2 linked regions of the Macaca fascicularis genome follow. The protein of the gene in region 1 interacts with the protein of each later gene in a biochemical or structural test. Links are inferred from orthologs where the notes say so. Each region holds a gene or a part of one and is shown on either strand. Other genes may lie near its edges.

Region 1 (3,654 bases):
CAATGGCAGTCTCACAGAAGAGATGGCTATGTACACTAGTGAAGAGAACAAAACCACCTTACTCTTAGGCTACCAAAATCTCTCTGAAAATTATCTATATTAATACTAAGTACACGGCTAGTAAGATATGTTAATGTAAAAAGAAAAGAAAAACAAGTTGTGATGTGTGGTGATAGTGGTAATAAAAAAGATGTAACGTATCAAGATCCAATAAAAAGACCTTCCCATTTCTCCAATGAAGAGAAACAAACATATTAAACATCTGAATCAAGTGAGCTAGCAGAACCAGGAATAGAATCCAGGATCAGCTAACTTCTTGCTGTAACAGCCAGTCTACCAAATGATTTATCAACAGAAACTACATAAAGCAGTACTAAATTGAAAAAAACAAAGAAGGCCAATTAGTAGCAGGTATTTCATAGAAGATCCTCTGACACACATCTGCCTCCTTTTGTTGCTATAAAGTACTGGTTAGGCTGGGCATGGTGGCTCAGGCCTGTAATCCCAGCACTTTGGGAGGCTGAGACGGGCGGATCACGAGGTCAGGAGATCAAGACCATCCTGGCTAATATAGTGAAACCCTGTCTCTACTAAAAATACAAAAAATTAGCCAGGCGTAGTGGTGGGCGCCTCTAGTTCCAGCTACTTGGGAGGCTGAGGCAGGAGAATGGCGTGAACCCGGGAGGCGGAGCTTGCAGTGAGCCGAGATCGCACCACTGCACTCCAGCCTGGGCGACACAGCGAGACTCCGTCTCAAAAAAAAAAAAAAAAAAAAAAAAAATTATTCCCTCTGAGAAGAGAGTCTAGGTAGGGAAGGGAGGGACCAGAGACAGCTGCTTTCCATCAAAAATTATTTAACATTTAAATGGTGTGCTTTATTAGTTTGATAAATTTAAAAATTATTTTAAAGAAAAAAGTGAAGAGAACTCTCAGAATCCCCAATACATGATCCTAACTACCATCAGACACTTGCCTCCACCTTGATGGCACACCGTCCAATGGCCCGCACAGCTTTTCGAACAAAGTCAACATCTACCTCTGTGGCATATTCCTTCAGTTCTGCCAGAACCTGTTAAATGGAGGAAGTGGTTAATCATTAAGGATTCTCAAATAGCAATCTCACAGCCTAGCTTCTTTAAAGGCCAGACCTTAAGAGCTAAATCATTATCAACTTGAGTCTGCATAAAGTCTGACCTGAGCAATGTTGGCTTGAGATGCCAAACGAATCATGATGTCCAACTTCTCTAGTTTAACATAGATGGGATCATTGTACTTCACAAAGAAGACTTTGATTTCCTGCTTCAAGATTTCAGGCCTAGGGTACACAGAAACAGAAGAAAGGAAGGTGAAGGCATATACTGATACACCCTTCTGAGACTGTATTAATACCTAATCTGTGCCTCTCTGCTCTCCTCTCGCTCCACTCAGGAAAAAAAAAAAAATGCATAAACTTCCTCTATATGCCTCTATTCTTATCAGTTCCACTTGGCAGATTATTTTTATCCTTTTTAAGCATCAGGGCACACGTTGCCATGAAGTACTGCTAAAAGAACAACAATCTGGCTCTAAACTACAACGTGAACCATATCAACCAGGCACTAGACAGTGTATCAGAAAGAGACCCTTCAGAAAACAAACTGGACTGTGCAGCAACACATGGCATTTATTATAGAAATACTGTGATATCAACTGTTAGCCTCCTGGTGCTAGGCAAGCAAGTTGTTCTGCCATATAACATTTTCATTTCCATATATTAAAAAGAGATTAACACTAGCCTAATTAACATTAACATTATTAAGCTTAATGCAAAATCACAAAGACTTTAATCAACACTTCACTATTTTCCAACCTTTTCTGGACAATTAAGTTGATGTTCCTCAGGGCGACATACTGCACTTCTGGCTCCCCAGACAGCAAAGTGACAAGTGGAGGGGCTAATTTCTTCAGCAGCATATTGTAGTAGTCAGAATCCTTAGGTAACAATTCTAGAAACTTCATTAGGACTTTTACTGCTGAAAGCACCACTGCTGAGTTGGCATGGGATAGCCGGGGAGTTACCCGCTCACATATGCTGAGGGCAAAGAATGAAAATTAATATCATGAATTATAATTTCTTTGCTGAATTCATTCTATAAGGTAATATGTCAGAGTCTAATGACCCAAGTATCAAAAAATTCAAGAATTAGTTAGAAAAGTCAAAGCTCTATGCTTAGGTAAAACTGGGATCTGACAATGCAGAAGCCTCATTCTCAGCAAACTACAGGCAGAGCAGGGACATCAGAAGACTTCAGAAAACCAGCAATAAGGGATGTTCAAACTGGAAAGAAACTAGCATTACCCAAGACACTTGAGCTCACACCATTTACCTTCTTGTTTTATAGTCCTCTTTGTCTCCCCATATTATGTTAGGGCTCCCTGCCTCTCAGCCCATTTCTACTCAACCTATAGGAAGTCAAATTAAGCATTCTGAGAGTTATTTCATAGGAAGTGCCAGCAACCCAGTTATGGCTGAAGATTTCATTGTAAGATACAGAAGGAGGCAGGTTGGTAGGGAAAACAATCCAATCTCCTGTCTTGAGGATAATGAGAATAAGGGACTCTCTGAAAAGGGTTTGTTTTTTAAATAGCAGGACACCACTACTATATTTTCCCATCTCCCTGCTCTCCCAGCCCCTGCCACCTACACTTACATGACTCATAAAATGGTAGATATTTAATTATCTGTTGAGGGTTCTTTAGAAATTAATCCAATTTTGATAGCTTGGGCAACACGAGTAGCTAACTTACTGTATTAAAGAAACAAGATAAATAGGCGGTGTTTCTCTCTTCCTCCTATTCCTGACTTCCTTTGGGTCTTTATACAAATGCCACCTTCTCAGTGAGGCCTTCCCTGGCCATCTTTTAAAAATAAAATACAACCCCCCACCCCCAAATGTCCAGCATTTCTTAGATTTCTTAGATAACGGCACTCTCTACTTTACTTTCTTGTTAGTACTTATCACCATCTCACATATTACATATTAAACTATCTATACATATAATATATTATACTATCTATACATGTTATATATTCCTACCCCCAACCTTCAAATAAGTGATCCCAGAGGGCCATGACTTTGTTCACTGTTGTATCCTCAGGGCCTAGGAACACTGCCTAGCACATAGTATGCGCTTAATAAATATTTGCTGAGTGAATGAATGAATGTGATGTCAATGGCCAACAGAAGAAAACAGTAATTCTCAGTAATTTCCAGACTGTATTTGTACTTTCAATGATGGAAAGAAACTATCAGAGTGAGCTTTAGTTCAGTCTAGAGGGACTATTTCCCAGATAAGTGAAGATCACTTACATTCTAGTAGCTTGGAAATCAGCTTCAGCCAGACCAGTTCTTATCTACCATAATTAAAATATACCAACTTTAATGAAGAGTCAACATTTCTTCAGAAGTACTTTGCCTAGTACAGTGCCTGCATATACAAAATGCTCAATAAAAATTAGAGATAATTCCAACTTTGTAAACTAAAATGTATGTATGTGTAGATGAAATTTAGTAGTCAATTTCTAATAACTAAAGAAAATTTGCAACATTACATGGTAACAGGCTGAGCAGAACAATCTAGGTGTGCCTTCTAAAATCTTCAAATTCAGACTGA
Region 2 (3,654 bases), on another chromosome or scaffold:
TTCCTTCCTTCCTTCCTTCCTTCTTTCCTCTCTCTCTCCTTCTCTTTCTTTCTCTCTCTCTCTCCCTCCCTCCCTCCCTCCTGTCCTTCCTTCCTTCCTTCCTTCCTTCCTTCCTTCCTTCCTTCCCTCCCTCCCTCCCTCCCTCCCTCCCTCCCTCCCTCCCTTTCTTCTCGCTCTGTCACCCAGGCTGGAGTGCAGTGGTGCAATCTCAGCTCACTGCAACCTCCGCCTCCCAGGTTCAAGTGATTCTCCTGCCTCATCCTCCTGAGAAGCTGGGACTACAGGCGGGAGCCACCATGCCTTGCCAATTTTTGTATTTTTAGTAGAGACAGGGTTTCGCCATGTCAGCCAGGCTGGTCTCAAACTCCTGACTTCAAGTGATCCGCCCACCTCAGCCTCCCAAAGTGCTGGGATTAGAGGCGTGAGCCACCATGTCCGGCCAGTTTTGTGTTTTCTCATTCTGACATTAGATAATGTCTTGCCAGTATCCAGTATCTTTAGCACTAATTCAGTATGATACTGACCATGCTAATCAGTTTGGTTTTCATCCACTTCCATTTTTTGCGCAAATGTGTTTCTTTCCAAAGTCTAGTTCATCACACTGTTGTTGAAATGTACATACACATGGTTGGAAAATCACTTATTTTTAAAAAATCATCCTGTTTTAAATTTTGTCTAGAAAACTTCATTTTCTTTTTCTTTAAGTTGGTGGTCACTTCCAGATTCAGTAAATATGTTAAAATCCTTAAACACTTACAGAAAATTTTAGCCTTGCAATTTTAGCAGGCAATTCAGCAGAATGATTTTGTTCAATCTCCAAAGGCTGTGTATCGTATCCTTTTAGATCCTATAAGCAAAAGTTCAACACAAAAGCTTCATTAGCCACTTTTCAGTTATTTTGTTGTTCCTCATTGTCCTTCTTTTCTTCCAACCTGCCTTAATTTTGAATGTTTTCTTTTTTTAAAAAACCTCGCGTGCTCTCTGTACCTTCTACTCTTGCTTCTTAAGTTGAATTTGGACATGGAAATAAAAGAATTTCATTTTGTGTCCGTAATTCCTATGTCTCCTTCAGGGCCCTAAGGGCAAGGACTAAAACAAATCTTGACATTTTGGGTTTTTTGTTTACTGCCAGGATCTATTCTCTGCATTCGCAAATTCACACAGAGGCTCTAGGTTTCGCCAGTCTCTGCATATGTTTGGAATGGATGTTTGAATTGGTTGACACTGTTCTGAACTACTGTTTGAGCATACTTCCTGATTCTAGCGTGTGTAGTTTTTGGTAGTTAGAGTAATCCTTTCTTTGTACGGTAATGACGGAATGCTTTCCCATCCTTTGAAAATTCATTGAACTATTATTTTAGTTTGATACTGAGGAATGACAGTTATTGAGACCGTTTAGCTTACTGGGACATGTGGCATTCAGAGTGGAGTTCCCTCAGATTGTATTTTTTAAGACACTGTTGCTATCCAATACTTTTCTGAAAATTGGGAAACCATTAAGGGACAGGAATAAAATATAACATATTAAGTGGCTTTTGTAAAAACAGAAAGATTTTCATTTCTCTTTTGCTTATATAGCTTGTGTTGGTTTTGTGTTTTCCACTGCTCCTTTCAGTAGCCTTTAAGAATTTCCTGATATGCCGTGCTGTGCATTAAGGTTGTGTAAGTATTCATAAACAAAAGCTTTTGAATCTGCATTCCTGCCACTTAATGACTGGCATTACATGCTATGCCTTGCTGTAATTGTGTTGATTCAGCACTATGGGAGCTTTCTGTTTTCCTTTGAAAATGATTTTATTATGAGGAAAAGCCTGAGAAATAAGGACTTGTAGATACCTTTTGAATTTAATGTCCTTAGAGTTGCTTGTTTTTTAATGCTCTATATAGGTGAAAGATATGATCCTGAGCCCAAATCAAAATGGGATGAGGAGTGGGATAAAAACAAGAGTGCTTTTCCATTCAGTGATAAATTAGGTGAGCTGAGTGATAAAATTGGAAGCACAATTGATGACACCATCAGCAAGTTCCGGAGGAAAGATAGAGAAGACTCTCCAGAAAGATGCAGGTATTTTAACACTTTGTCTCCCAGGTCTCTTAGAAAGAGTCCTAAATTTATGCCACTGGGTTTTTGGTTTTTTGTTGGTTTTGTTTGGGGTATTAACATTATCTGAAATTGGGCCTTTTTTTTTTTTTTAAAATAGACTTCATTTGTTTTTAGAGCAATTTAAGCTCACAGAAAAATTGTGCATAAAGTACAGAGAGTTGCCATATGCCCATTTCCCCTTCATAACAGGTTCTGTGAACATCTTGCATTACTATGGTGCATTTGTTGACAATTGAAAAGTCAGTATTGATACACTTATTAACTAAAGTCTGTAGTTTACATTGGGGTTTCCTATATTGTACACTTCTATGGGTTTTGACAAATGCATAATATTTCTCATTACTGTGTCTTATAGAATAGTTTCACTGCCCTAAATATGCCCTGTGCAGAAATGTGGAACAAGTCTTAAATGTGCAAGTCATCCTTGCACAGGGGGCTTGCTAATCTTCCCTGTATTGTTCTGGTTTTAGTATGTGTGCTGCCGAAGCAAGCGCTGTGTAACTATTTTTAAGATGCTAGGTTATACACTACTTGCAATTAGTATTGACATACTTTCCATGTTGCCAGTGTCTACTTATTTTTGAAGTTGATCCTGTGTATTTTTAGTAGTCTTCCCTTGGATATTTTTTCCCCAGTAAAAACTTGTATAGATTATTTTGCATTTGGACCTTAGATGATCCAGGGACCTAAGATGTTGAGGGATAATGAAGTTTATATATTAAGTTTAATTAAACATAAGTTAAAGGATTTGAAATTTAGTGCTTCCTTGACATTTCATTATGATTCTGTGTCAGTGTGTACCAGAAAAACAATCCAAATGGATTTTGAACTGGTTTTTGAGAGCAGATCTGTATTTTTATAAACTACATTTTCTGATGGTAGGGCATTCGTATTTCATTTTACATGGAACAATACTTTGAACTTTGCAGCAGTCCCTTTTGTTCTTACCTACCAATATAGTTATAAACCAACTTTTCTGACAATATAAAGGGTAATGCATATAGCACTTAATTTACAAAGCAAATTTTACTTTGTAAATTTGACCCTTATCATTTGTGCCTCACAGTATCTACTAGAGTAGCATAAGAATTTTGCCTTTATTGTTTATAAGTAAAACCTAAGATCCAGTCACACTGTGTGGAATTGCCTAAGTAACACAGTTAGTGATGGAACCAAGCCTTCAAGTGAGTTCTCGTAACTAAATACCATCTCTTTTTTTTTTACCTTGTGCCAAAAATCTTAATAATTCAGAATTAGGGATCATTAAAAAGAGACCCAAACAAAAATACAATCTAATTAGTGTATTTTTAGGATATTTTCCTATCTTTTAAATCCCTGGAATGTCTCTTCAGGAAATACCAACAGAATAATGACCATAATTTCAATAATGTTTTCCAAACCAAGCCAAAACTTATACAGGCCACAAAAACATTAATGAAGAAAACAACTCCATATATTTGAAATGGGCACCATTTCCCTCCCAATGTTTAGTGTTTATAATTATCATATGCATACTTTTTCAGTATAAAAAAGCTAGATATATAGTTGTA

Evidence for each region.
Region 2: the proteins of AP2B1 (region 1) and CLINT1 form a complex in vitro, tested with the Homo sapiens proteins (2 studies listed by BioGRID and IntAct, with this or other methods). The link is inferred for Macaca fascicularis from reciprocal best matches to the Homo sapiens genes AP2B1 and CLINT1.

The regions. Positions count from the first base shown.
Region 1 is NC_088390.1:41,928,303-41,931,956, reverse strand, and holds part of AP2B1 (AP-2 complex subunit beta), read right to left. Parts: intron 2,072-3,654; coding exon 1,850-2,071; intron 1,316-1,849; coding exon 1,195-1,315; intron 1,070-1,194; coding exon 974-1,069; intron 1-973. UniProt on the Homo sapiens protein: Component of the adaptor protein complex 2 (AP-2). Adaptor protein complexes function in protein transport via transport vesicles in different membrane traffic pathways.
Region 2 is NC_088380.1:164,616,658-164,620,311, reverse strand, and holds part of CLINT1 (clathrin interactor 1), read left to right. Parts: intron 1-1,887; coding exon 1,888-2,065; intron 2,066-2,491; exon of another isoform or gene 2,492-2,598; intron 2,599-3,654. UniProt on the Homo sapiens protein: Binds to membranes enriched in phosphatidylinositol 4,5-bisphosphate (PtdIns(4,5)P2). May have a role in transport via clathrin-coated vesicles from the trans-Golgi network to endosomes. Stimulates clathrin assembly.